Canis lupus familiaris: one gene and its partners. The protein of the gene in region 2 interacts with the protein of the main gene of each other region in a pairwise test. Links are inferred from orthologs where the notes say so. Each region holds a gene or a part of one and is shown on either strand. Other genes may lie near its edges.

Region 1 (4,091 bases), on a different chromosome or scaffold from region 2:
GTACTTTACCATCTTCCACCCACTACACTGCAAGTACTCATACTCTGGGACTGAGGTATAAGAAAGACCTAGGGTTCTGCAAACACAAACCACTAGAAATTATCCTTTGCCATTTGCCTAAAATGACTTTCCTCATCTTCTCTTCCATTGAAAGGTTACTCAACTTTCTTAACACAAGTCAAATGTCACACCATACTGGAAACTTCCCCTAATCTCCTTAGGGTCAGAATCTTTCTACCAATGGGTACAGAGAATGGCATCAGGGGCTGAGATCATGACTTAAATGAGTTATACCCCACCTGAGTTGAAATCCCAGGTTCAAACTTTATCACCTATGACTCTGGACAAGATCTCTTAGTTTGCTTCCTCATTTCTAAATAACAGTAGCTAGAAATTTTTATGAGAATTAAATAATGGGCTACGTGCAAAATACTGCACGGAGCCTCACTAAAATTAAGTATTCAATAACAGTTAAATGTTATATGACTATTTATTCCCACTCTGGGATCCTACAGTAACTTGCACCTACCTCTATCATACTATTGTGATGATGTAACTGTTTGCTCATACAGAACACAGATTATCTTCTATCATCTTTTTATTCCCACTACCAGGCATAATATACAATATAATAGGTTCTTTTGTAGATTTTATTTATTTATTCATGAGAGACACAGAAAGAGGCAGAGACACAGGCAGAGGGAGAGGCAGGCTCCATGCAGGGAGCCCGATGTGGGACTCGATCACTGGACTCCAGGATCACGCCCTGAGCCAAAGGCAGACGCTCAACCACTGAGGCACCCAGGTGTCCCCAATATAATAGGTTCTTAACAAATCTTGAATAAACAAATAAAATGCTTCCAACCCCTAATAAGGCCTCAATTTTTTTATAATGGTCTTACAAAATTTACTTTCCATATCCTTGTAAAAAATTGGTACTTTAAGTAAAATTTACAAGCCAGTCTTATTTTGAGAAAAAGGGAATTTTGTAGGGGCGCTGTGTTATTTTCTTGTTTAAAACACAGTCTGGGGAGCTGGGTGACTCAGTCAGTTAAGCATCTGCCTTTGGCTCAAGTCATGCTCCCAGGGTCCTGGGATCAGTCCTGCATCAGACTCCCTGCTGCTCAGTGGAAAGTTTGTTTCCTCCTCTGCCCTTGCCCCTTCCCACTTGTTCTCTCTCAAAACTAATTTTTTTTTTTTTAAGTTTAAAAATAAATAAATAAATAAAACACAGTTGGTCAAGTGTCTGCCTTTGGCTCAGGTCATGATCTCAGGGTCTTGGGAATCAAGAAGCTCTGCTAAGCTGGGAGCCTCCTTCTCCCTGTCCCTCAGCTGCTCCCTCTGCTTGTGCTAATAAATTCTTTTTTAAAAAAATGATGTAAAACACACAAAATAAGACCACTCTACTATCAATTTTTTCCACATACTCTATAAAATACCAAATTTCTAGGATCGTTATCTACCTGTTGAAAAAATTTTAAAAGATAATCAAGGCAGGTTTTTTAAATCTGGTGGGCTTCCTTACCACCAAGGCCTGAGCCAACTCTAAGGACTAAGGTGTATTGCAGAGTTTTTTGTTTTTTGTTTTTTTTTAAGTAGAACACGGCATTTTTCATTCTGAAAACATGCTACCGAGAAATTCTAAAGAACATTAAAATAATCAAAGAAAATAATTACTACTACTCACTGCTTTAAAAAAAAAAAAAAAAAAAGACCAGTCTGTGCTTTAAAAATCACTAGTAATTTAAAGCTAAATTAATCTTCAAATATGTGTAGGTAATGTTCAAGCTAGTATTAAGTAGGGGTGAGGGGGGCTCATTTTACAATATTGACCCTCAATAAATAAAACGCAAAAGGCAGAACGGTTTTTTTTTAAGGTATTACTATATAATAGCATGGTCTCTACTTCTACACTTGACCTTTAAATATTAATGCCCTCTGAGTAATTATTAATGGCTTTAATATGCAAACACCTCCGAGCTACTTCAGAATAAACATGATTAAATATCTAAAAATAAACGTATTAGGGAAAGGAGAAAGGCCTGTTAAAAAAAACCGTTTCTCGGTCTCCCATCAAATGTGTGCCATACATACGGTTCGGCACCGAGCGGCAGCAGCAACCTGGGAGGGTCAGAGGCGCCGCAGGCCCGAGGCCCTGCAGCTGGGGCGGCTGCTCATCACCGAGACTACCGGGGGCGGTGGCCCAGCCCAGTCGGGGTGGGGCTGAGCGCTGTTAACCGGGGCGGGCCAAACGGCAGGACGGGAAGCCCAAGTCTCACCTCCACTTCCCTTTCCCAGCGCAGAGCGCAGTTCGGCGACCACCCAAGAGCCCCAGCACCACAAAGACACAGATTTTCTCTGGCCCGGTAGGCTCAAAGTTTATCGGTCTTTCCCAGCAGCCAGGGCCGCCGGGCTTTGTAGTTCGCCGGTCCAGGCCACGCCGCCACGGCCGCAAGCCTGCGGGGCCGCTAAACTACGATCCCCATAATGCCCCGCGAGCCTCGAGCTCCCACTGTTCTCCACCTCCCCTGCCGGCGCCCCGACCGCCGCGCCGCCGCACCGCCTAGGCGGCGGGACACTGGGTGGGGCTGTCAGCCTGGATACCCCCCCACCTGCTCTCCTGCTTGCGCCCCTCTCCCTCGGATTCATTACCTAGGTGCCGCAGCTCGGCCGCCGGTTGGTGATGCGGCCCGGTTGGGGGAAGGGCACAGGCCTCTGCGGCCGCCGAGTCCGTTAGTTCCCGACGTGCGTGAAGAGGCGGCGGCGGCGGCGTACGGTTGCCATGGCAGCCGCGAGGCGAGCGGTGGGGGGAGCACAGAGGCTCACAGTCAACTCGGGGGAGGAGCCTGAGAACCCCGCCCGGGTGCGGGGGAAGGGCGGCGCAAGGGTGAGGCGGAGAGGGGCGGGCGGTGACCTGGAGGAGGACGCGCGGCTGATCGAGCTCGGGGACTGCCCGACGAGCCCTGCCGCGGCCGCGGCCAATCCCTCGGCCGGACGCTGGTCCGCTGCGGTCGGCGGAGCGCCTCGGTGCCGCTCTATTCTGAGACGGTAGCTGTGGCGCCGGAGGAGGCAGCGCCGGGCGTCTCGCCGCCGGGCTCCGTAAAGGTCGTCGGGCCCGGGCCGGCCCGTCCCCCTTTGGCCTTTCCACCAGCAAAATCCCATTTGCAGTGTTGCACACCCTCTGCCGCTTTCGGAGGAGCAGGGTGGAGAGGAGTCCCTTAGTAAGGTGTAGAGCGTACGGCCTTTCGGATTGTTGAGGTCTGAGAACGCCTAAGAGGCGCCGATTTGGGCTGAACGTTTGAGGCGTATGCTATTCCTGAGGTGATGGTTTGTGGACTCTGCAGCAGCCTTCTCAGAGGTGCGGGGCCGGGGCCGTAGAAACCGTAGAAACCGCAGAACCGCTTCTCGGTTCCCGCCCTGCCCCTACCCGGGGCAGCGGATCCCCGGGGGCAGTTCACTCCCGGATGCGGAACGCCTTACTCTGCAAAATGGAGACGATGTCTAGTGCCCAGTGCCTTGGAGAAATCAGGGCGTCGATACCGATGGACCACTGTGAAACAAAGACTGGCATTTAACAATGTTTAAATCTTATTTAACCCTTCGTGGTAAGAGTCAGAAGAGGGGTGGCCGGAGGGGAGGCTGGGGTGCGGCTGAAGACGGAATTCTCTAGTGATGGAGAAGCTCTGTCTCTTCCTTAGGCTTCGGGTTACAGAGGCATATGCCTTTGTCAAAACTCATGGAATAGTACCCGTAAAATCTGCACATTTCACTGTAGGTGAATGTACCTCAAAAAAAAAAAAAAAAACATAAAAATAATTCAAGATCAGTCTTAGCAACTTACAAATATACAATACAGTGTTGTTAACTTTGGTCACCAGGCTGTACCTTACATCCCCAGGACTGACTTATTTTACAATAGGAAATTTGTACCCTTCGACCACCCTCCTCACCCACTACTCCCAATCCCCACATCTGGCAACCACCAGTCTGTTCTCTGCATCTGTAACATCGTTATTAGAGCTGTAGACTCTAATAGAAACCACGGAGATGGTCTCTGTCCAATCTCCAGACTTTGCAGATGAGGAAAATGA
Region 2 (4,278 bases):
ATTATATATTTATTGTTGATCTCTCCCTAATAGAATGTAAGCTCAATGAGAGTAGGAACTTTTGTACAGGTGACCTTCGAACAACGTGGGGGGTTAGAGGTGCCAACTCCCCACCAGGAAGTAAAAAAAAAAAATCCCACAACTTTTAATCCATAGAACTTTTGACTCCCCCCAAACTTAACTACTAGAAGCCTACTGTTGACTAGAAGCCTTGCAGATAACATAAGCAACACATACTCTGTATACATATTATATACAGTATTCTTAAAATAAGTAAGCTAGAAAAAAGAAAATGCTATTACAAAAGCCATAAGGAAGATAGATTTACACTAGTGTACTGTATTTATCAAAAAACAATCCATTTGTAAGCAGACCTGTGCAGTTCAAATCCATGTTGTTCAAGTGTCAATGTATATTGTGCTCAATGACATATGTACTTGTCCCATTACATAGCACTCAACAGATATGTTGGAAATTTGAAATTAGGTGGAAATAGGAAAACCAGCGACTAAAGAAAGATCTGTATGGCTGAAGTAGCGAGAGGTGGAGAGTGGTAGATACACGAAGTGAGGCTGCAGTGGTGGAAAGAGACCAGAGGCTATTAGGCTTTTTACAAACAAGTTTTGCCTTAAGAATAGTGAGACAGCAATGAATGATTTTAAGAGAAGTCTGGCCAGGACGTGCATTTCAAAAAGTTCAGTATGGCTCCAGTGTGGAGAACTAATGGAGAAAGGCCAGAGTGAACAATCACTATGACAATGGTCTTGGCAACAGATTACGGCAGTTTGGAAAAGGCTGTGCTTACGTAGATCATGGGTACAGCTGGATGGAGCTATACGTCTACAAGTCACAGGTGGCAGTGGAACCATGTGTATGGATGGGAGCAGACTCAACTATGCAGGCAAAAGGGGATCTAGATTTAAGAAACTACGCTATGCATTGGACAAGGAGGAGGAGCCCCAAAAAAGGACAAAAAAGGAATGTCTTTTTAAATTTTTTGAAATCATACTCACAAGTTCACATTTTTTTTTTTTTAAATCAGATTTAAACCAAGTAGCATAAAAGTAGCAAGGCCTTTTCAAATCAGACTAATTCATTTAAACTGTCAAATCTGTCCAAGGTCAGGTCACTCTCAGAAACCATCCGGAAAATTCACAGGGCTGGTCTCTTTGCGGCTTCAAAGTAGATCAACACACAGGAAGTTACCCTTCCCAAAATAGAGGGGATTTTGGCTTATTGCAGTTTCCTGAAAGTACTGTCTCTCTCTCTCCCTTCTGAGCCTCACCATAGGCTTCTTCCGGTCTTCTTTCCCTGGGATGAAGAATTTCCCTGACTTTCCAGGATTAAGCCAAGAGACCCTCTTTCTAGACGTCCCAGATAGCCAGCTACCATACTGTGTACTGTAATTGTGTATTTTACTACCAGATGCCATCACTGGAGAGGGGGCTGCGGCTTTTCCCCCTGTTGCATACTCAGCACCTCACAAGGAGAAATTTCTAAAATTCAAAAACGGAATTTAAATTTAAAACTTAAGTACGCTGTTTAAAATAACTTATTTGACTTTACTATTATCATTATAATTTAAAATTTAACTAAGTTATCTAAAATAACTTATTTGACTTTACTATTATCATTATCATTTTTTTTTTTTTTTAGTTTCTATTTAAGTGGCCTCTACACCCAACACGGGGCTCGAACTCCCCACCCGGGGAACTGAGCCGCCCCGGCCCCTCCACGGCTCCACTGGTGTAATAAACGCCATCCATCCCACCATGCGGAGAATTAAAATCTCATTGACGAACCGGACGGCCCTTCACACCTTGACTTTTCTCCAGAGGTACGACTTTTTTACAAACAAACATGAACCTTTTATGCAAATGAATCCTTTAAAATAAAAAATAAAATAAATTAAAATAAATAAATAAATAATTTAAAATAAAAATAAAATAAAATAAAATAAAATAAAATAAAATAAAATAAATAAAAAATAAAATCGGGCAGCCCGGGTGGCTCAGTGGTTTAGCGCTGCCTGCAGCCCAGGGCGTGACCCTGGAGACCCAGGATCGAGTCCCGCATCCGGCTCCCTGCATGGAGCCTGCTTCTCTGTCTGTCTCTCATGATTAAGTAAATAAAATCTTAAAAAAAACAAACAAACATACTAAATCTTGGGAGATTTTTTTTTTTTTTAAATAGCATCACCTAAGGGGGGGGGGGGGGGAAGGCTGCAAACGTTCCCATCCAGGGATGCTGGGGTTTCTTCTTTTCCCCTTAGTCTCTCGTGCAAAATGAATCTGACAACTGGCTTCTGCTCGGGATCTCCTTTGGGCGCAGAAAACACACAACATCCCCCGCGCAAAGGCGGACGCCAGGGCCAGCGCACGGGGTCACCTAAGGCCGCCCTCGCGGGTCCCCCCGGCAGAGGTGCGAGCGGAGGCCGCGCGCGGGGCAGCCGTTCCCGCCGCATCCCTTCCTCGCGCCCCAACGCGCCCTCCGCCCGGGGCGCCCGCGCTACTCCTTCCCAGACACACCGGACAAAACCCCCTGGACTTAAGAGGCCATCTTCTAGATGCCTCGATCTCCAAAATCCCTGAGGAAACGAAGGAAAAAAAAAAAAAAAGCCTCAATTGGCAGCCGAAACCCCCCAGCGCTCCCCAAATCGACGCTTACCAAGCTCCGTCCGCGCTAACCGTTGGCTCGAAGGCCGCCACGGGCAACGTCGCAGGGGCTCCTGGGGACTGTAGTTTCTATCGCCCGCAGAACGCGCCGGTACATCAAAACTACACTTCCCAGAAGCCAATGCGACGACGCCCCCTCCCCCCCCATCCCACCCCCACCCCTGCCTTCTTCAATCTCGGATTTGGCGTAATAAAGACACCGTCACTCTTTCCAAGCTGATCTTAAGTGAGGATGCGGTTTCCTCCAGGTGTGTGTCTAAGCCCTCTTGGCCGTGCTCGGCCTCTCTCCGTAATAGCTTCATTGTACTTGTACTTCTTAACTTTTCTTTCCCCGGCTCCGAGCCGGGAGAATCCGTACGTCACGGGACGGAAACGCCCCCGACGCAAAAAAAAAAAAAAAAAAAAAAAGTCCGTTCGGCGCATGCGCTCTGTTCGCCATCACGCATGCGTAGCAGCCGGTTGCAGTTGGCGGCCGGGCGCGGACTTGGGGTCCGGAGGTAGCCCGTCGGAGGGCGGGGCTCTTTCCAATGGCTTTGCCTCCGCGGGTCGCGTCTGCTTGGGCGGGGAAGAGGGCGCTGGGGCAGGGGCGGCTCCTGGTTTATGCCGGGCGGAGAAAGGGGAGGGGCTGCAGGGGGGTGAGGACCCCCATCTCCCCTCCCTCCTCCCGCCCTCTGGGCCGAGCCCCACCGATGGGGCTGGGCGAAGGGGCGGGCTCTGCGCCTGGGGCCTCGCTTGTGCGCCAGCTCGGCGGCCCGGCCCTGCGCGGGTCCGGCTTAGCGGGCGGTGGGCGAGGACGCAGGTAGAGGAAAAGAAGTGGCGTCTGCCCGGGGTTCCGGCGTCGCCGGGGCCGGGGCCGCTTTCCTCCAACGCTGCAACCGAGGCAGCGGCTGCAGAGGCTGCCCCGCCCTGCACCCTGCACCCTGCACCCCGCACCCTCCCCCCTCCAAGGAGCGCCCGGGTCTCCGACCCCGGCGGCCGGCGAGCAAGGAGGGCTTGGCGAGGCTTCCCCGGCAGCTGCCGGCCGGCCGCCGAGGCGGAGGGCGGAGCTGCGGAGGGCAGGGCCTGGCGCCGGAGGAGGGGCGGGGTGGGAATGCTCCCGGGAGCTCGGTGGCCGCCCGGACGAGAATCCCCGAATGGCTGGGGGCGCCTTCCACTGCGAGCGGCCTTCCTGGGCAGAGCTGGGATTTGACAGCTGCACGACGTGAGGATATCCGCTGACCCCGCGAGGCGGAGGAGCGCACTTCCCCGAGGCGGCCTGTCCGGCCAAGCCAGCGCTGCAGGGTTTCAGCTTTCCAACTTTTTTTGTGCGTGTGTCTCTGCCAAGAGGACTGCCCTGCCCCTTCGTGTAGGAGAGAAGGGTGAGTTGTGCCCCGCGTCGGTCCAAAAAGACGCTTCGTGGTTCCAGATGTCACCGAGGCCGCTGTGTTTTCACGGCGACTCGATGTCCCCGGTTTTCTTCTTCTCACGTGCCTCGTTTTAAAAGTGACCAAGTGCTCGTGGGGACATGCCGACGGGGAACTGAAGGCGGCCCAAGGAGACCCTCCCTCCGGTTGTCATGGCTGAAGGAGACAGTGAAGTGAGATGGGACGGGCTGTGCAGTAGA
Region 3 (4,042 bases), on a different chromosome or scaffold from region 2:
TTACAAATGTTAAAGAGTTCTATCCAAAAAAAAAAAAAAAGGCTCTATCCAGACCTAGAGAGCTGGGACAGACTACAGAGCACTGGGAAGGGTCTGAAATGACCTTTGTGCTAGACCTCAAAATACTAGTTTTGCCAGAAGGGCATTTTGGAAACTGGACTAGCACCTGCAAAAAACTTGGAAATCCTGGAAATAGAGTATAGTGGGAGCAAAAAAGGCAAAGGGCATGGACAGAACTGACTGGAAACAAAAGCCAAGCCATTTACACATTAAATTCCAGGCACAGGGGTTGGTAGCTTTTATTCTATTATGTATAGACAGCTGAATATAGAACTGTGATCTCACATTTAGAGAAAGTTTGGGTTTTTCCCCTTGAGCCCATGGCAATTCCGATTTTGTCTGTAGAGGATGGGCCAGTCAGAGAAAATGTTCAGGAATTGGCTGAGGCCAAAGTTCTTGCAGAGCCCTGTCAACCCCTTCCAGAGAAGGACTCAAGCTGGTAACGCAGAGTTGGGGCGGGTGGGGGGAATAATTCCACCAAATTACCTTGACTCATCCTTTGAGAAAGTGCCATGGTGAATTTCTTCTGGGTACGAGTCAGGGTAATCCAGGAGGTAAAACGGAAGACTTTCTGATTTTGAATCCCTACTCACTACTCAATAGCGATGGGACAAGTTATTTAACTTTTGCCTTACTGTCCTCAGATGCAAATGGGAATAAAAAATAGTACTGAGCTTAGTAAATAGGCGGATTAAGCTAGTAGGTGGGAAAGCACACTGTAAGCAAAGAACTACTACTGTTATGAAAAGTTTTCATTTGAATACGGAAAATGAGGCCTGGGAAAGAAAAGAATGGCCCCTCAGCGAATTCGCGATGAAGTTAGAACTGGAATACAGGTCTTGATTCCCAGCCCAATGCTCTATCCCTTGTCATCAGAGTTCCTGGTCATAGATGTTCACAGCAGAGGGTTGAGGCTGGTAAGGGCGTGCGGGAAAGAACAGCCAGGCACAGGGCTCTGGACCTGAATCATAAATTCTGCACGACAGGAACCAGGCGGATTCCAGTATTCGTGCAGAATGACTAGCTCCTTTCAGACCTCCTGGGTATCCGCCTCCCAGGACTGAAGTCCTTTCTATTGCATCTTGGGAGTTGGGGGTCAGCCGCGGTGCATGGAGGGACATGTAGTCCTTTCCCTCCCCCTCCGCCTGCCCAACTCACCCGCCTCAAAGGCCGCCTCAGGCTGCCTTCGCTTCATCTTTCCCAGCAAGCCCCGCGAGAGCGCCGGCTATTGATTGGCTGTGGCAGGAGCAGGCGGCTTGGCCGGCAGCGGTTACCCAGGGTTTCCGGTGCGAGGCCAGAGCGGGCGAAGCCGTCAGGAGGTCGGCAGTGAGGTGCGTGTTGCGGAGGTTTGGGGGGAACAAGGCGACCAGCAGGTCGGTGGGCCTGAACACTCTCGGTCGGTGGAGGGAATCACGCCGATTCCGCGCGAGGGAGTGGGCTGGGGGGGGCAGGGCTGGTCCTGTGCGCATGCGCGGACGGGAGGCGCGCGGGGCGTGGGTGGCTGCGCGCGGGGGGGCCCACGTGGGGCTTGGGGGCCGGAGGAGGGATGGGAATCGAGCGTCCCGCCACGTCAGTCTCCGGCCCTGAGCCTATCCCGCGCTCGGCCTGTGGTAAGGGGGCTGTGTAGTGCCGGGAAGCGGCTTCGAGAAAAAGGAGGCCTCGCCTGCCGCGCTTCTGAAGCAGCGCCCCGAAAACCTGCCTGGGCGCGCCGTGCTCCTCCGACTGGCCAGAGAGAGAACCGTTGGCTCCCTCTGGTGAGGGACGGCCAGTGTGTCCTAAGAAGCTTTGTGCACCCGGGATTGGGATTTCGGATCCAGGCTGTGAAGAATTTTGAAGTCTGGAATATAGCGAGTGTGCTTGTTTCTATAGGATCTGTTTCCAGCCTAGCATTGCAAACCACAATGAAGAACCAAGACAAAAAGAACGGGGCTGCCAAGCAGTCGGGCAACACTTCCAACCCAAAAAGCAACCCGGGGCAAGCCGAAGTAGGACCAGAGGGAACCCAGGGGCGCCCCAGCCAGCCGGCTCCTGCGACAGAAGCTGAAGGTTCCTCCAGCCAGGCTCCAGGGAAGACTGAGGGTGTGTGCCATTTCTGCTTTCCAGCGGGCAGGGGGAGGAGTTTGTGGTGCGCCAGGATAGCTTCTGGAGTTCCAGGCCTAGGCCACTGTTTACCCAGGAAGGAGGAAATGTAGAATGAGAGGAGGACTGCCACCCGCAGATCCCTCTTTCCCCAGGGTGTTGATAGAGCCTCCCACTCAAAGCACAGGAGCAGAACTCTTAAGAGAAGGCTCTGACAGGGTTAAGTCAGGTGGCGCTCAGATGAGACACCCAACCAGCTAGCCCGGCTTAGAAATGCTGCATTCACCAGTGGGCAACTACTCTTCATGTTGGAGGCTTTCTTAGAACTTTTTTAATAGCAAGAAATGATTTTTGCAGGGAGGGGAAAGGGAGGGACTAGATGTTGAGCTCCAGGTACATGCCATCCCTATATGCTGGATGCTTTATTTCCTTGATTCCTTTCACATCTATAACAGACATGATTGGGCAATAGTGGGAAATAATCTTATTTTATGGGTAAATAAACTAAGGCTTAAAGAAAGTAGGCAACATTTAGCCCCAACCAGTAAGTTTGGGCCTGAAAAATCCCAGCAAATGGAATTAACCATCTTGTTTCTCATTTCTCATTCTGCCGCTCATCTTGCCCTGCCACAGGAGCACAAGCCAAAACTGCTCAGTCCGGGGCCCTCCGTGATGTCTCTGAGGAGCTGAGCCGCCAGTTGGAAGACATCCTGAGTACATACTGTGTGGACAACAATCAGGGGGGCCCAGGTGAGGATGGGGCACAGGGTGAGCCTGCTGAACCCGAAGATGCAGACAAGTCCCGGACCTATGCTTCAAGGAATGGGGAGCCTGAGCCAGAGACCCCAGTGGTCAATGGTGAGAAGGAGACCTCCAAGGGGGAGCCGGGCACAGATGAGATCCGGACCAGTGACGAGGTTGGAGACCGAGATCACCGAAGGCCACAGGAGAAGAAGAAAGCCAAGGGTCTGGGTGAGCAGAGGGCAGCTACTGGTGAGGTGGGGATGTTTGGGCTAACCTGCTGTCCCAGGATTCAGAGGAAATTACTTTCTGGAGCACCGAGTCACATTAGTTTGATCCAAGCAAGGGGTGTGGACCGTAGAACAGAGGGGTGTAGATGGGATCCTGTGTCAGCCAACACTATCTCTAACCTGCTCTGTAAACTTGGGCAAGACCTTTCTCCTTTCTGTTCCTTAGTTTTCGTTTCTCTACAGTAAGATTTGGACTAGCCCAGGGTTGAAAACACAAATAAGCCAAGTTAGACAGGGGACCCTAGGAGGACAAGACATTGCCTACTTCATCCAAAGGGGTGATTGCCATCTGGTCCCACCATGCTGATAGCATATAATACTACAGGCTAAGTGTAGCCAGCCTTTTTTTTTTTTTCCCCCCCTCATTCTTTTTTCTCCTTTTTTCCCCTTTGTTATTATGCAGTTAAGTGAAATCTCTCTGGATTTTTAACAATTGGCAACTGAAGAAAAAAAAAAAAAAAACAATTGACAACTAATATGCTGGGAGCCAAACAAAACTCGTGTGGGTTTTGGCCTACGTGCTAGTGCTTTGCAGTCTCCACACTGATCTTTCGAGCCTCTTGGGTTTGACACTTCAGGAGCCTGGTGCTGTGCTATGTACAGGAGCCCTCCAGGGAGACAGAAGGAAGCCCCTTTGACTGAAGCACAGTGAGAGAAAGTTATTGGGGGCAGGGGACTAGTGTGTATGTTAAAGAATCAGAGTTAAGTGATATTATACCTGTGTCTTAGTCCTTAATTCCCCACCCTCTGTTTGTCATCCTAATGGAAAGGGTTTTTTTTGTTTGTTTTTGGTTTTATTTTGTTTTGTTTTTTAAGATTTTATTTATTTACTCATGAGAAACACAGAGAGAGAGGCAGAGACACAGGCAGAG
Region 4 (3,991 bases), on a different chromosome or scaffold from region 2:
AGTTTCCTTCTCAACTGTCATGGCATCAGCAGATTTTATGGAAGGATGAGGGAATGGATGGGCTCACTACCCAGAGCAATTTTTGGATGCAATTATGAGACTCCCCTGGCACCGATTTAAGATCTGCAAGTTGGAGCAAGTTGCCATGCACTCCGAGGAGGGATTAACTAAACCAATTTCATCTCAATTTGCGCTGTTCAGATGATAGAGTCATGAGGAAACTAAGTCACTGGGGCCTGTAGCAGGGCTTCCCAGGGTGACCGTGCAAGGTACAACGTGCCAGGTGAGATCTAGTGGTCATGAAAGAGGGAGCCAATCAGCCCTTTGTTTTCCCTAGCCTCTACCCCTGTCTTGCTCCTCCCTGTCCTACTCCGGGTGCTGCAGGTAAGGAAGGAGGCCTCAAATGAGGAGGCCAAATATGAAGGCCAAGACCTGGAACTTGGCCCCATCAGCAGAGAACTCTGCACACTGTAGGTGCTCAGTAAATATTGTTGACTCACTGCTGCTAGATGCTAATCATGCTCCTATTGCCAGGCCTAAAATTATTTATGCCGCTTTTCAGTAGAAATTAACTGCCCCCATACAGGCTAAAAATGGGTGAGGTTATGTTTGCAAATGAGTCTGACTCAGACTGTTAGGTTGGAGTACATTAGATATGATTCAAGCTTCAACTTAAAATAATCACCATTACTCCGTATGCCTAGTTTTATGCATGTTTTCATTCAGTTGTACATGCTTTAGGAACAACAAACAACAGAGTCCTGAGTATGGTGATAGATTTGGCTCCTGGGGTGGAGGGTGGCTAAGGATGGTAAGTTAGGGTTTCCAGTAAACCAGAGTTCCTCCTCACACCCAGTCCAGCTATTATCCCCATAAAAAGGTAAATGAAGCGCTTTATTTGAAAAGCGTAATGCTGAGAGTTTATAGAACCCTTTCATCTTCAAAAGACCAAGCAGAGCCTCAAAATGCCCAGTATACAGTATTATGCCTTTTACACAAGTACACCAAGTATAAAAGAAAGGTCATAGGAATGTCCTAGGGCCATAAAACCAATGTGATGTCAGATTTGGGATAAACTCTCTGATCTTCCTGACTCCTAGACCCATATTTCAACCACAGAAATCCAGTTGTGAGGAACGACCAGGAAAAATCTCGTTCACATTATGTATCTATATTAAGGTAATTGATTGGGCAGGCATATATAAAAATAGCAGACTGTTTCTCCCTTAGGGCAGTCAGTAGGATTGCAGAGGGGAGAAAAGGGGGCATGTGAGGGTTGGGGTAATCAGCTAGAGTCAAGCCAGAAGGAGGAGAGAGAAGCTCCCTATTATTCAGCATTTCCCTTCTATTGGAACATCACCAGAGAAGTGATTAGAGAGCATTGGGAGGGAACAGAATAGGGTTCAAGGCAGCCCTTGCCGCCCAACTAGAGAATCCAAGGAATCAACCACATACATGACTGGTCTTTTTATACAGTTTCCACTATATTCCTGTATCAGGGCTCCTCCTCACAGGCACACAACCATCACCATGCACCTACCCCACACTCAGAAATCCTCAAAAAGGCAAATTGGTTGAGGAGCAAGAGGCTGGAGGGCTGGGAGGCAGGTGGAGCACGCACGCAGGTTGGTGGGGGTTAGTCTGGGGGGGACGGTGCGTTCTGCTGGGAGACCTGGGTGGGCAGGTAGGTGTGTGACAACGCAGGAAGAGGGCAAGTGATTGCGAAGAAGGGTAAGGGAGCATGGAAGAGAGAAAGTGAAGAAAACTCAAGACCCCAGGATCCCAATTTCCTGCTCTGTGGGGTTTGGGTGGGAGGGAGAACCAATAAAGAAAAAAAAAGAAAAAAAAAACAATCAAACAACAACAAACAGACACACACACACACACAACCACAAAACCACAAAACGCCTCCAAGAAATAATGTGCTACACACAAAGTGCTAAGTGGCCTAAAGCTCATCATTACCGAAACTGTTTCTGTAAATCTAGTCCGCCGTTATTTACTCCATTCTTAAGAGGCAGGAATGGAAAAACCCTACCTCTCCCCGGTACGGTCGCAGTCTGTCCTCTGGACATAGAGAAGTTTTCCCTCTCTCCCACTGAGCTGGTTTCAAGGCTAGGCCAGAAATAAGGAACCACCCAGACGGAGACCCGGGAATCGCTCCCCTGGCAGAAAAGGGAGTAAGTTTCATCTGGCCTCCCCGCCGGCAGGGTGTCCGCAGCATCCCTGGCTGCTGCAGCAGCCACTGCCGCGTGGAGGGCCGGTCGAGGGGCGCCGCCCGTGTCAAGAAGGCTATCGGCCGCGGGAGCGTGGGAAGGCGGCGGTGCCCTTTCCCAGACTCACGCACAGGCACCGGGGCAGCCGCTCGACTGCCCGCGCCAGGCGAGTCGGGGCGCTGGAGGCCTCGGGCCGCCCCCGCCCCACACCCCGGAGTGCAAACTCCGTCCCAAGAGGGCAGCGACGGGCACCCAGGCCAGGCCGGGGCCCCCACCGCCGACACCGCCACCTCGAGCCTCGCGGTGCCCCGTCACGCCGCCCCGCCGAGCCCCGGGGCCCTGGGCCCCGTGCCGGGCCCCAATGGCACCTGAGAGGCGGCCGGAACCGGAGCCCGGGTCGAGCCGAGTGCGGGCGGTGCCCCTCGGCTCTCGGGGCCGTGGCGAGGGGGCGCGTTTTACCCATAGCGTTCCCGGGTGCCAGCCATCTCCTTGGCGCGCCCGAGGGCGCCGGGCGCTCGCCTGCCTCCGCTGGGAGCTGGCTCGGGCTCCGGCGCGAGCTCCCGGGCCGCCGCCGCCTCTCTAGGCCGCCGCCCGCCTTCGCCGCCGCCGCCGCCGCCGCGCAGCAGCCGGGATCCGCCCGCCCGCGCGCCCCGCGAGAGACAGCACGGCAGCCGCGACGCTACCGCAGCTGGGTCTCCAGAGACGAACTTAAAGAGTTTTAGCCCTTTCGTCCAGGGGCAGCACCATGACACCACGGCAGCACCACACTGTCATTTCCGCCGCCGCAGAGGAAAAAAAAAAAAAAAAGGCAATCCCTACGAAAAGGGGGGTGGGGGGCAAACAGGGCTGGGGCTGGCGCCCCGAGGTAACACTGCGAAGGGCCCCGGGTACCAGGGGCGCTTGACCACCTTCCCGGTCTCACCTTCCTCCACCCCCGCCGCTCCCAGCTCCCCCAGCCCCTCCTGTGGAGGCGCGTTTACAGGTTTTCTCCCCTGGCTGGAGTGACCGGAGAAACCTGAGCAAGCCAAGGCAGCGGGTGGGTGGGGTTCGGGTTACTACGGTACCTACCAGCTGATTCCAGCAGCTTTTTCTCCAGCGCCCTGTCATCTTGAAGGAAGACACACCGAGGGGCTCGAGCGGGCGTGTGTGTGCGAGCGCGTGTGTGTATGTGTGTGTGAGCGAAAGACAGAGAGAGAGAGAGAGCGCAGAATGTGTACGAAATGCAGAAGGAAGACTATGGCCAAACTCTTTTCCCACCCGCCAACCCTCTGATCGCACAAGCCACCAGGTTAGAACAAGGAAAAGGCCATCGCCACCAGCAACGACAAGAGAGTGCCTAGGTCCACCGCACTGGTTCTCAGATGAAGCCGCTCCGGTGCAAAGTTAACTACCAAGTAAAACAAAAATAGTGGAGGACACATAAAAGGGCAGACAATTGAAGGAAACCCAACCCCTCTTTCTTTTTACAAAGGGAGAATGCCTGTGTTTTATTGGCCTTGGGCAGAAGTTGTGGAGATGGATTAAAGCCACCAAAATTTTAGAAAAACAAAAGAGAGTAGAGTCTCATCTGCACATCCAAATCCTTGATGGGCAAAACAAGAGGGTCGTTAAACAGGACAATAGGACAGATGCCAGCCATCCAGGTATAATGTCCCTAATAAGCTAATTGGTCCATCTGGAACCCGGAAGCCTCATTGGTCTGGAGTCAGCCTCTTGGCTGACCTGTCATTGGCTCAGAGACCACCACCCCACTCACAAAGAGGATGAGAGAGGAA
Region 5 (3,500 bases), on a different chromosome or scaffold from region 2:
GTTAAGTTTTTGAGTTAAGCTATCCAAGCAGAAAGCCTCTTTGGTTGCCAACTCTCAGCATCCAAGAATTCTGGGCATGCAGACACCCTCAAAGGCCCAGATTCCCAGCTTTCCCCTGTGGCAGGCTCACCAGACGGGGAGATTTGGTCAGACACGCCCTGCGCCAACTGCCTGATGCTCTTGCTCCTTCATCAATGTCCAGGAGAATCCGGGTGCTGGGTACAAAGCTCCAGGAGCGTCCAAGGGCAGGTTTGAGCTCCCCGCTGTCCCTGTCTCGGGTCATGTGGTTGGTCACCTGAAGCAGAATCAAAGATTTCCAGATTGATAATGCTAGTGTGAGGACATCTGTTCCTACTGCTTTTTCATTCTTTAAGTGGCAAGACTGAGGCCCAGCACAGAGAAATGACTTCTCCAAGGCTCTCAAAGTTATTGACAGCAGCTCTGGAACTAGCCCCCTGGGTCCTCACTTGTGTTTAACTTTTTCCACTAAATCACAATGTCTGGGATGCCTGGGTGGCTCAGTGGTTGAGCATCTGTCTGCCTTTGGCTCAGAGCATGATCCTGGGTCCTGGGATTGAGTCCCACATCGGGCTCCCTGCATGGAGCCTACTTCTCCTTCTGCCTGTGTCTCTGCCTCTCTCTCTGTGTCTCTCATGAGTAAATAAATAAAATCTTAAAAAAAAAAAATCACAATGTCTCAGGCTTGATTACAGCAGAAGGTAACAGGCATGTGTCTGGGAATAAGCAGGGCTGTATGCACTCTGCTGATGGGAAGCCAGTGGTGGGCCTGCGCCTCCTATCCCCAACCCAGCAGACAGGCCTTCTTTTTTTAAAATATTTTATTTATTTATTCATGAAAGATACACAGAGAGAGGCAGAGACACAGGCAGAGGGAGAAGCAGGTTCCTCTCAAGGAGTCCGGATGTGGGACTCGATCCTGGGACCAGGATCATGCCCTGAGCCCAAGGCAGACACTCAACCACTGAGCCACCCAGGCATCCCCAGACAGGCATTCTGAAGCCACATGCACCCCGTGCTTTGTGTCACGGAGCACATCTGTGTGTAGGGGAGTCGTGCGAGCTTTGAAAGGGAGGTCATAGTCTGGTCAGTCAGTTCTACTATGCCCAGGATAGTCATGGGCAGGCAACCTGAGCTTTACGGCACCCTTTTAATGAGATTCTCCCCACCAGCCCTCCAACCAGGGGCAGGGGCACAAGCAGATCACGTACATCCTAAAGTCAGGAGAGAGAAGCCCTAGAACTCAACTTAAGTACAAAAGAACACTGCTGGTGGGTGTAGAAATTAGTATGACCTTCCTGGAAATTCAGCGATATCATACCTACATATTTAAAAATGTGTGTATCCCCGGGATGCCTGGGATTGAGCCCCGTGTTGGACTCCTGGCTCAGCAAGGAGTCTGATTCTCCCTCTCCCTCTGCCCAAAGCCCACCCTAGCTCGTGCTCCCTCTCTTTCTGCTACTCTTTCTCTCTCAAATAAATAAAACCTTTTTAAAAAATAAAATAAGAAATAAAAATGTGTGTATCCCTAACTCAGTTATTATACTTTTAGATTACTGAAATCTTGAGGGAATAATATAAAGGAATAATATGAAATGTGCAATGAAGTTAGGGTATAAAGGTGTTCATTAGAGTTTTCCTTAAAGATTTATTTATTAGAGAGAGAGAGAGAATGTGAGCATGTGAGCAGTGGGGAAGGACAGAGGGAGAGGAGAATCTCGACCAAACTCCCTGCTGAGCACAGAGCCCGACATGGGGCTCAATCTCAGGACTCCCAGATCATGACCTGAGATTGAGTCCAATGTATAAAACCCAGGCACCCCAGAGTTTTACTTAAAATAGAGGAAAACCAGTATGACCTACCAAGCACCAAATGAGGAAATAGATCATTATGGGATACCAGGGTATTAGCAAACTACTCCCCACAGGCCAAATATGGCCCCAAAATTGTTTCTGAAAATCAAGTTTGGCTGGAACATAGCCACGCCCTCTGTTCAGGACTGTCTGTGGTTGCTCTCACGCAATCCAGGTGGAGCTGAGGAGCTGTGACGTCAATGTTATCGCCATAGAGCCTCGACTATTTACTGTCTGGCCCTTTGCAGACAAGTTTGCTGACCCCCAGTAACACAGGTATTAAAGATTTTTTTTTTTAATTTTTATTTATTTATGATAGCCACACAGAGAGAGAGAGAGAGGCAGAGACACAGGGAGAGGGAGAAGCAGGCTCCATGCACCGGGAGCCCGATGTGGGATTCGATCCCGGGTCTCCAGGATTGCGCCCTGGGCCAAAGAAAGGCAGGCGATAAACCGCTGCGCCACCCAGGGATCCCTAACACAGGTATTACATAAAATATGTAACTGCTAAAAATGGCATTCTTAAAGCATCTATTTAAAGACATGGGAAGTGGAATGAAATGAGTTATTTTTTTAAATAAGGTTACAGTTTAATTGGAAAGCTGGTTAAAAGTATATGTATATATATATGCAGAGAGTAAAGATCCTATGGAGAGGGCAGCCCAGGTGGCTCAGTGGTTTAGCGCCACCTTCTGCCAGAGGCGTGACCCTGGAGACCTGGGATCCAGTCCTGCATGGGGCTCCCTGCAGGGAGCCTGCTTCTCCCTCTGCCTGTGTCTCTGCCTCTCTCTCATGAATGGATAAATAAAATCTTAAAAAAAATAAAAATAAAAAGATGGGGATCCTTGGGTGGCTCAGCGGTTTAGCGTCTGCCTTTGGCCCAGGGCGGGATCCTGGAGTCCCGGGATCGAGTCCCATATCAGGCTCCCGGCATGGAGCCTGCTTCTGCCTCCTCCTGCGTCTCTGCCACTCTCTCTCTCTCTCTCTCTCTCTATGTCCATCATAAATAAATAAATATTAAAAAAATAAAAAAATTTTAAAAAGATCCTATGGAGATATATAAAAAATATTAATATGTTTTCTGTGGATGTGGAGATTTACTACACATTTGTCTCTTATATTTAACTATTTTTTACTCTATGAGAAACAGGCAGACTTTTAAAAAAGTACTCTGTAAGCAGAAAAAGTGATGTTGAAAGCAAAAACATCCCTTTCTGTGAAGCACCGGAAGAGGCAAAACTATACGGACAGACACTTGATCAGTGGTTGTCTGGGGCTCAGGGACCTCTCTGCGGTGACCGAAATATTCTAGATCTTGATTATGCCGGGGTAACGAGACCGGATACATTAGCATCTGTTAGCCAAACTTCGAACGAGGAGTTACTCTGTGTGAATTATACCTAGATAGATCTGTCTTAAAGTAAAAAAGAAAACCGAGGCTGTCCTTTACCCCTTGGCTCTTTATGTCTGACCCCAACACAGTCCAGTGCTCTAGATGGCCCAGGGAAGAAGGGCCACTTTGGGGGTTCAGACGTTGCCATTTAAGGGAAGCAAACAGCTGGAACTAGAAATCGAATCCATGTCCCCCCATCTCAGCACAGCCCAGGGAGCAGAGAGAAGACCAGCAA
Region 6 (4,141 bases), on a different chromosome or scaffold from region 2:
CAGCCACCAGGCCCTGTCCTGCCAGCGCCTCCGCCAGGTGCCTGGCCAGGCCATGGTGCTCTGCTCGCAGGGCCTCCAACCCCTGCACCACTTGTCGCGTCTGCCGCACCAGCTCCTCGGGGCTCAGGCGCTCCGGGCCCAGCCCCACACTTCCAGGGGCTGCCACCTGCACGGACATTGCTGTTCCTGGGGTGGGTAGCAGGGATTGGGGGGTCAGGGCCAGGCAAGCAGGCCCATCAGTCCCTCCTCACCCTGGCCGGCTCCCTGTCCCGCACCCATCCCAGCCAGCTGGCAACTGGAAACATTCTAGTCTAGCTTTGCCTGTCCTCAGCCATGGGCCCTGCCCTGAGGGCCACTCAAAATCTGGGGCAACCAGTGGTCTCGTGGCCTCTCACCTGCCCTCAGCTCACCTGGCCAGCCCTGTCTATCCCAAGGGCCCCAGATACCTGGCCCCAGGACTCCCCGTGTGACCTGGACTGGAGGCACACGCCTCTGCTGGGTGTGTGGGGCGGGGCATGTGGAGGCGGCCTCTCCGTGAGCTCATTCTTAGGGTGTTTTTGTTGGGAACCAGTCGGACCACTGGGGCTGGAGGGGTGGGGCCGGAGGAGAGGGCCAAGGGGCTGGGGCACTGGAAGCAGAGGAGCCCTCTAGATTTAGGGGGATGGGGGGGTGCCTGTGTGTCAGCTCCCAGGGCCTGATGGATCCCAAGGGAACAAGGACTCCACCCTCCACTGCAGACAGGCTCCGCCAGCCCAAGGCATGTTGGGACACACGTGTGACAGGCACGGCCCATGGATGTCACACTAGCCCTGTGACAGCTCAGAGTCTGAGGCCTAGATGCTAATGGGTGGGGGTCTCATGTGTGGCACTTTATGTGGTTGTATGTAGGTGACAAAGTCAATGACACAGCTGCTGGAGCCTCTGTAGCCTCTGTATTCACACACAAGCACACTCACTCCCCTCCCAGAAACAGACCCCAACACACGCACACCCTCCCTTCTTAAATACACAATGCGACACACACGTTCTCCTCCTCTCAGAAACTGAATACCTGCTCTTTCTTTTTTCAAATGCAGTGCAATATATACGTACTTTCTCAGAAACACACCTGCTCGTACACACACACACTCCCCTCTACAAGAAGACGGCTCAACATGCACACTCCTTTCTTTCTTAAAAACATAATATACATTTTCTCTGAAGCAAGACATACAGGACACTCTCTTTCTCCTCTAAAAAATAAAAATACAATCCTACACATCCACATTTTCCTTTCAAAAAACCTAATCCAAGGGTGCCTGGGTGGCTCAGTTAAGCGCCTGCCTTCAGCTCAAGTATGATCCAGGGGTTCCAGAATTGGGTCCCACAATAGGCTTCTCCCTCTCCCTCTGCTCTTCCCCTGGCTCATTCTCTCTCTCAAATAAAATCTTAAAAAAAAAAAAAAAAAACGCAACACACTTACTCAGGCTCGTGCACGCACACCCACATACTCTTTCAGAAACAACACATGTATGCTCTCCCCTCTTGGAAATATAATCCCACACACTGGTGTATTTTCCTCTTGGGAAAAAAAGCCAACACACACAGAAACTCTGTCCCCCCTCACTAGTGAAAAGATAACCAAATCCCAAATCACTCACATTCAGGCTATCTCTTTGCAGTTACCCCCATGACACACCTTTCCCGCACTTATAAGGTCCTGCAAGCAGCTAGCTCTCCATTACATGCCCATCACCTCCTCCAGGCACGCATGCGCGCGCGCGCGCACACACACACACACACACACACACACACACACACACACTCTTGGGATTCACTGTGGACCTATCATCTCCTTCCCCACTTCCCCCAACACCTTGCCCGGCCAGCCAGAGATTCACGCACCTGCACACAGCATACACACAGATACACAGAGCTTCAAACACGGACATACAGACAATTCCTGAACTCAGATTCAGTTGTGGAGACACAGAGAGGTGTTTGCATAGACCCTCTCGGGCATGTGCCTCACTCAAGCCACCAGGGCGCCGTAAGCAGCCTAGTGGTTTGGGTACCTACTTACCTGCTCACGAACATCATACACCAAGACACACAGGAAGGCAGGCACATAATCCACGGATTTTCTACACTGCAGGCTCTCCCCTGCCATCAATCTCTACATATACGTGTGTGCAGACACCAGTCTCTCTCACTATACGTATATATGTGTGTACATGTCTCACCATACTCCGTGTCACACACAAGCCCCACAAAGTTACGATCACACGTTCATGGAGTCATTCAGACAGCTCCATTATTCCCATGATTTTTGCCCACACTCAGTCCCGTGAACAACAAACTCCCTTTCACACACGTACAACCGCACAGCTGACAGTGTTAATCCCAGGCACACCCTCCCCGTCCATGCGGGTCCCACATCGCCCACCTCCCTGCGGCTCCCCGCGCCTTAACAGGCAGAAAGACCGCCCCAGCCACGCAAGCTCTGAGTCACGCACCTAATCCTATAAACAGAGCAACTCCCTCCCATACACACGGCCCCCACCCCCATCATTAGACGCACAGAGGTCCGCCCACGTGTTGCATCTGAGACAGCTCCACGTCGTTCCCACAGTCCCTGGGCGCCCGCACACGGTTACACGGACCATCCCTGTCCCTTCCTCGCCCGCACCCACCGCCGGAGCCCGTCGCGCACACACCTGAGCTTCGTACACCATCACACACACCTGAGCCTCGCACACCGCCTCTCATACGCCCCATCTCCACGCCCGCACCTGCAGGCCAGCCCCCTAAACCGCACACCTTACCGCGGCCGGCCTGGCCCAGCCCCGCGCACCCCGGCTTCCCCACCCCCGCCGTCACAAGGGCCCCCGCCCTCCTCCCCCCAGGCCCCGCCCCGTCTTCGCTCCTGTTTACCTGCGCACCGGGGAGGGGGCGCGGCCCCAGCTGGGCCTCGGGACCCGGGAGGGGGGGCCCCAGGGCGGGGCAGGAGGGCCCAGGGGGCCCAGGAGCCCCAAGGCCCGTCCCCGTCGCCAGGCCAGCGGGCCCCAGGGTGCGCGGGGCCCAGCCCTCACCCTCCGCCCCCATCCTCGCGGTCCCCGGGACTCCCCCGCCCAGCACTCGAGGGGCCCACCTGAGCGCCGGCGGCTCCGGGACCCGCTCCGCCGAGATGCGCCGGGCCGCGTCCCGCACACCGCGCACGCCCGGCGGCTCCCAGCTGCGCCCTGGGTCTCGGGCCGCGGGCGGCTCCTCCGAGGGGCGGGGCGGGCGGAAGCCCCGCCCCCGCAGGTGAGCCCGCCCCGCCCCCCGCCGCTCCCGCGGAGCCCAGCCCGCCCGCCGCGGGGGAAGCGCCAGCGCAGCAGCGGACCCGCGAAGCCCTCCGCGTGCCTGTCGGGCCCGTCGAATCTGAGCGCGAGCCCAGCGCGCTGGAGGCTGCCAAGCCGGGGTGCAGCGCAGCTCGACCCTTGGAAACTAGGGATCCCAGGCCGAGGGCTTTCTAGCAGCGCCCGCCGCCCGGCCTTGCCTTCGGCTGTGCCCGCTGCCTGGGCCCCCCCTATTCCCACAGACGCCATTCGTTAGTCTGGTAGCTTCACAAAGGCCGCTTCCTCCGAGAGGCCTTCCCTACTGGCCCTTTTTTCTTTAAAAAAAAAAACTATTGGAGTTCAATTTGCCAGCATATAGCATAACACCCAGTGCTCATCCCATCAAGTGCCCCCCTCAGTGCCCGTCACCCAGTCACCCCCACCCCCACCCACCTCCCCTTCCACTACCCCTTGTTCGTTTCCCAGAGTTAGGAGTCTCTCATGTTCTGTCCCCCTCTCTGATATTTCCCACTCATTTTTTCTCCTTTCCCCTTTATTACCTTTCACTATTTTTTATATTCCCCAAATGAATGAGACCATATAATGTTTGTCCTTCTCCGATTGACTTATTTCACTCAGCATAATACCCTCCAGTTCCATCCACGTCGAAGCAGATGGTGGGTATTTGTCATTTCTAATGGCTGAGGAATATTCCATTGTATAGTAAACCACATCTTCTTTATCCATTCATCTTTCGATGGACACCGAGGCTCCTTCTACAGTGTGGCTATTGTGGACATTGCTGCTAGAAACATCGGGGTGCAGGTGTCCCGGCGTTTCAT
Region 7 (4,151 bases), on a different chromosome or scaffold from region 2:
CTTTGTCAGATGCTAGACATACACAAATGACTAAAGTACTTCCCAATCTTCCAGAAGTTGGGCAGACACAAAAGTAAAAACCTGACCTTGACAAAGTGACAGGTGCTACCCCAGGAGTAAAGAGGACAGTGTGGAGCACAGCAGGCCTCTACTGGTCTAGGGGTGGGCATCAGGAGAGGCTGCCTAGAGGTGACTCCTGACTGAGGGTTGTAGAATAAGTAGGTATGTCTAGGCAAAGGAAGGCTTCTTTCCTGAAGAATACAGAGGGCTTGTGAACACAGACAATGCACGTCCATAACCTGGTGAGTGGATAGCCAAGAAAAGGGATTGGTGTGTGTCCCTGGCTCAGGAATCTCCTAACACTTTCCTCGATGCATTGGGACTGCCTGGTTCCCAAGTGTATCCACTTCTTTCCTGGGTGAGACCTGTAGAGACCTGAGAACGATTGCCTCCTCTGATCCCGCACCAGGTAGATGTGCCCTGAATGAACGATTACGTGAAACAAGCCCTCTGGGTTTCCACGTCTCCCTTGTATGAGAGTGAAAATCAGCAGTGCCCACTCGGAACAGGCTCCAGAGGCAGGGTGGGTGGAAGTCGTGCATCGCAGCTCCTTGGGTGTGGGGCCAGGGGGGAAGGCAGAGTGGTGGAGGGAAGAGGTCTTCAGGCAGTGAGGGCTGCGAGGGGCCAAGGCACCGCCCTCCCGAGGGGGTTCGGGCTCTGGCTTGGTTGGGGCGCGGGGAAAGCAGGGGGGTCAGGGCCCTGCGGGTCACAGATCTCGGCCTTGGCTTCCCTTCTCCTGCCTTGACGCGGTCAGTCCCGGGACGCAAGAGGCCACCGCGCGGGGGTGGGGGCTGCGGCCGGGGTCCGCGCTGCCTGCGGAGGTGGGGGACGCGGGCCCCGCTTGGCGGGCGTGTGTCCGCGCGTTTGGAGGAAACAGCAGCGGAGGATGCGTCCAGCTTTGTGCTCTTCCTGCCCCATCCCCGCGCGGGACGGGGCTCGTCTGACACTTGGCCCCGAGGGGTCTCCGCGCGCAGCCGGCCCGGGCGGGACCCTTCGCCGGAACCAGGCGACCTCGCGGCCACTCCGGGACGGCCTCACGCTCCGAGGGCGCCCCCGCCCCCGCCCCCGCCCCCGGCCCCCGGCCCTGGGGTGAGTCTGGGGCCGGGCTCCGTCGCCCCCCGCGCCCGCTCGCCGCCCGGGTCCCGGAGGGCGGTGGAGCGAGGGCTTCCGGGCGGGGGTGGCGTCAGGTGGCCCGGCCAGGCCCCGCCCCCTCGGCCCGCCCTCCCTCCCCTGCGCACCGGCTCCGGGTCCCCGGCCTGGCGGCTGCGGCGTCTCCTCCGGGCGGCGACGGCAGCGGCGGCGCGAGCGGCCATGGAGGCGGGCGCCGGGGCGGGCGCGGGCGCCGCGGGCTGGAGCTGCCCCGGCCCAGGTCAGAGCCGCCCCTCCCTCACCTCTCCGCCGCCACTCCTTCCTCTTCTCCATCTCTCCTCCCTCCAGACCCCCACGTCCTCGCTCTCCCCCCTCTCCCTCCGCCGCTCCCACCTTTCCGTCCTGTCTTCCTCCCTCATCCTGCCCCTCACCCCGGGCCCGGTCTCCATCTTTCCGGGCTGGGTCTTCCCCACACCGGTCGCATCATCCCCTGGCGGTCTCTCGCCCTGCACCCCTCCACCCCGTCGGTCCGGCCCTGGGCCCCAGACCCTGCGCCCCCTCCGGCCGAAGGCTCGGAGCGCAGGGCGAGGATGGGGTGGATGGGTCCAGGCAGAGAACGGAGCGGAGGGGAGCGGCCCCGGCCCGGAACCCCTTGCCCCACGCATCCCCCCGCCCCGCATCCCCTCCTTCCCCTCCTTGCACCACCTCACCCTCTCAGCCTCTCTGCCCTGGCTCTCGCCCGTCTCCCTTCACAGCTAAAGAGACTGTGCTGGGAGAGGAGCCTGGAACTGGGGATGCCGGGGAGGTTGGGCAGCGCAGGGCGGGATCCCCGCAGGCCCAGCTCGAGGGGCGGCTGAGGGAGGAAAGTCGCAGCCGGGGCCGCGTGAGCCGAGCACTTCCACCTGGATTAAAAACTCTGGGGCTCCAGAGGGCTAGAAGGCACGTCCCCCTCTCCCTCCTGTGCACCCCAGCCCCCAGCCCCCTTAGTAGCCCACCGTGCCTCCTCTCTTCCTACCCACAGGACCCACAGTGACCACTTTAGGCTCCTATGAAGCATCTGAGGGTTGTGAGAGGAAGAAAGGCCAACGCTGGGGGTCCCTGGAGCGGCGGGGGATGCAAGCTATGGAGGGTGAGTTTTCCCAAAGAGCTTTCTTTCTCTCCCCTCAGCCAACTTCCCTTCCTTCCTCCTTACCCCATCTGGTCCCCAGAGCTCCCAGCCAGGACAGAGCCCTTCCTGTAGCTCACCTGAGCCCCCTCTACCCTTCAGGTCTGAAATCTACCCCTCCTCAGGGCTCAGGCTTTGAGGGAGGTTCTGGGTGCCTCCCTTTGGGGCCCTAATCACCAGCTAACCAGGTTGTGTGTCCCGGGGGGAGCTGCCAGACAGAGAAAGAGGCCTCGTTGGACAGAGCTTTGAAGCAGGCCTTTCAGCAGGGGGTTTGTTCTCACTGCCACCCGACCCAGATCCCAAGCTGTCTCATATTTTTGAAAAGCAGGGAAGTGAGCATGTGAAGTGAGCATTGTCCTTCTGGTGCCACCACCACTAACTTTGAATGTAAGCCTTTGTGGCTTTGGTTCTCTTAGGATCCCTTACAGCCTGAAAGAATTGCCTGGGAGGGGGCAGGTGAGAAGGCCAACCTCCCAACACTCATGTATCCCCACCGCACCCATGTTACTTGACAGTTGCTGCCAACACCAGACTCCTGGAAGGATGCTGATCCGTTTCCCAGGACTCCCTGTGAAGTGTTCCCAGGTCTCCACGCACACTGTGTGGGCAACCCTGCTCCTTTAAGGGGGACAGATGACACAAGGGGTCCCAGATGGACCTTAGGCTGCTGTCATGAGACCAGGGATTCAGAATTGTAAAACAAAGCAAATAATCAGTATCCTGACAAAATGTCGCTATTTCAAGGAACTGCATTGCAGCAAAGGAGGGGGTACTCACCAACCAGAGGCTGGGGACCAGTGCACCCCAGTTTCCTGATGCATTAAAATGGTAGGCTTTTTTTTACACACAAGTACAGCCTTGGAACTGAAACCTGAAGTTTCCTTCAGGTTTGGGGAGGGAAGTTAGGAGGAGGGAACTCATAACACTTGAGGAAGGGAGAGGCCTCCTAACAGCAGAGAAAAGGAAGTGGACTCTGCAGAAAATTTCAGAACAGCCATGTGATAGAATACATTTGAAAGGGCCTCAGTATTGGTCCAGTAAAACATTTAAAATCACTTCATTCAGATGTTTTCTTTTTCTAACTACCGATAGGCAACCCTTTCTTATTCTGGAAAAGCTAATTTCTTCCAAGCCACCTGGATAATTTTTTAACTTTGGACAAACCCCAGACTTTAACTCTTGTCCCATTTGGCCTAAAGACACGGCCAGCATCTGAATCCTTTCTTGAGTACTTGTCCCACTATGCAGAGACCACCAGGACTGCAAGAAGCATGTATCCTTGTGCAAGCTCACATAGCTAACCAGCACCCAGCTGCTCAGTTTGCCCGAAGTCAGTAGCAAGAGGCCACCTGGTACAATACTGGTCCAGGAAGGGCCTGGGTGGGGATGGGCTACCTCCAAACTTGACCCTTACACCTGAGGACTCATCACCGAGTGCAGGTCCTGCCGAGGGGGCTCCTTGGGGGACACCAGGTGGCACTATTATACCATCTCTGCCCTGGGACAATGAGCAGAAGGGCCCTTGAAGGACTCTGGAAAAGAAGTTGCCTCTGACCCCCTGGTGGGATGGGTTTCTCTCCTAGGGGAAGTGTTACTCCCAGCTCTCTATGAGGAGGAAGAGGAAGAAGAAGAGGTGGAAGAAGAGGAAGAGCAAGTGCAGAAAGGTGGCAGTGTGGGCTCCCTGTCTGTTAGCAAGCACCGGGGTCTGAGCCTCACAGAGACAGAGCTGGAAGAGCTGCGGGCTCAGGTGCTACAGCTGGTGGCAGAGCTGGAGGAGACCCGGGAACTGGCAGGGCAGCATGAGGATGACTCCCTGGAGCTGCAGGGTGAGTGCCTG

The links.
Region 1: the proteins of CEP57L1 (region 2) and KATNAL1 interact in binary tests that used the Homo sapiens proteins (3 or more experiments, as listed by UniProt). The two-hybrid records come from large-scale screens. The link is inferred for Canis lupus familiaris from reciprocal best matches to the Homo sapiens genes CEP57L1 and KATNAL1.
Region 3: the proteins of CEP57L1 (region 2) and TXLNA interact in binary tests that used the Homo sapiens proteins (3 or more experiments, as listed by UniProt). The two-hybrid records come from large-scale screens. The link is inferred for Canis lupus familiaris from reciprocal best matches to the Homo sapiens genes CEP57L1 and TXLNA.
Region 4: the proteins of CEP57L1 (region 2) and MID2 interact in binary tests that used the Homo sapiens proteins (3 or more experiments, as listed by UniProt). The two-hybrid records come from large-scale screens. The link is inferred for Canis lupus familiaris from reciprocal best matches to the Homo sapiens genes CEP57L1 and MID2.
Region 5: the proteins of CEP57L1 (region 2) and RAD51D interact in binary tests that used the Homo sapiens proteins (3 or more experiments, as listed by UniProt). The two-hybrid records come from large-scale screens. The link is inferred for Canis lupus familiaris from reciprocal best matches to the Homo sapiens genes CEP57L1 and RAD51D.
Region 6: the proteins of CEP57L1 (region 2) and KLC3 interact in binary tests that used the Homo sapiens proteins (3 or more experiments, as listed by UniProt). The two-hybrid records come from large-scale screens. The link is inferred for Canis lupus familiaris from reciprocal best matches to the Homo sapiens genes CEP57L1 and KLC3.
Region 7: the proteins of CEP57L1 (region 2) and CCDC136 interact in binary tests that used the Homo sapiens proteins (3 or more experiments, as listed by UniProt). The two-hybrid records come from large-scale screens. The link is inferred for Canis lupus familiaris from reciprocal best matches to the Homo sapiens genes CEP57L1 and CCDC136.

The regions. Positions count from the first base shown.
Region 1 is NC_049246.1:9,766,045-9,770,135, reverse strand, and holds the start of KATNAL1 (katanin p60 ATPase-containing subunit A-like 1), read right to left. Parts: upstream 2,801-4,091; 5' UTR 2,653-2,800; intron 1-2,652. UniProt on the Homo sapiens protein: Regulates microtubule dynamics in Sertoli cells, a process that is essential for spermiogenesis and male fertility. Severs microtubules in an ATP-dependent manner, promoting rapid reorganization of cellular microtubule arrays.
Region 2 is NC_049233.1:66,409,266-66,413,543, reverse strand, and holds the start of CEP57L1 (centrosomal protein CEP57L1), read right to left. Parts: upstream 2,801-4,278; 5' UTR 2,668-2,800; intron 1-2,667. Other genes in the region: SESN1 (sestrin-1), read left to right, coding at 4,231-4,278. UniProt on the Homo sapiens protein: Centrosomal protein which may be required for microtubule attachment to centrosomes.
Region 3 is NC_049223.1:68,417,954-68,421,995, reverse strand, and holds the start of TXLNA (alpha-taxilin), read left to right. Parts: upstream 1-1,242; 5' UTR 1,243-1,391; intron 1,392-1,929; 5' UTR 1,930-1,961; coding exon 1,962-2,139; intron 2,140-2,772; coding exon 2,773-3,111; intron 3,112-4,042. UniProt on the Homo sapiens protein: May be involved in intracellular vesicle traffic and potentially in calcium-dependent exocytosis in neuroendocrine cells.
Region 4 is NC_049260.1:81,967,037-81,971,027, reverse strand, and holds the start of MID2 (probable E3 ubiquitin-protein ligase MID2), read right to left. Parts: upstream 2,801-3,991; 5' UTR 2,680-2,800; coding exon 2,676-2,679; exon of another isoform or gene 2,585-2,675; intron 2,061-2,584; exon of another isoform or gene 2,039-2,060; intron 1-2,038. UniProt on the Homo sapiens protein: E3 ubiquitin ligase that plays a role in microtubule stabilization. Mediates the 'Lys-48'-linked polyubiquitination of LRRK2 to drive its localization to microtubules and its proteasomal degradation in neurons.
Region 5 is NC_049230.1:38,224,477-38,227,976, reverse strand, and holds part of RAD51D (DNA repair protein RAD51 homolog 4), read right to left. Parts: exon of another isoform or gene 3,469-3,500; intron 3,287-3,468; coding exon of another isoform or gene 3,230-3,286; exon of another isoform or gene 2,860-3,229; intron 296-2,859; coding exon 131-295; intron 1-130. UniProt on the Homo sapiens protein: Involved in the homologous recombination repair (HRR) pathway of double-stranded DNA breaks arising during DNA replication or induced by DNA-damaging agents. Bind to single-stranded DNA (ssDNA) and has DNA-dependent ATPase activity.
Region 6 is NC_049222.1:110,906,957-110,911,097, forward strand, and holds the start of KLC3 (kinesin light chain 3), read right to left. Parts: upstream 2,801-4,141; 5' UTR 2,758-2,800; coding exon 2,697-2,757; intron 187-2,696; coding exon 1-186. UniProt on the Homo sapiens protein: Kinesin is a microtubule-associated force-producing protein that may play a role in organelle transport. Plays a role during spermiogenesis in the development of the sperm tail midpiece and in the normal function of spermatozoa.
Region 7 is NC_049235.1:7,706,669-7,710,819, reverse strand, and holds the start of CCDC136 (coiled-coil domain-containing protein 136), read left to right. Parts: upstream 1-1,351; 5' UTR 1,352-1,371; coding exon 1,372-1,429; intron 1,430-2,170; coding exon 2,171-2,278; intron 2,279-3,897; coding exon 3,898-4,140; intron 4,141-4,151. UniProt on the Homo sapiens protein: May play a role in acrosome formation in spermatogenesis and in fertilization.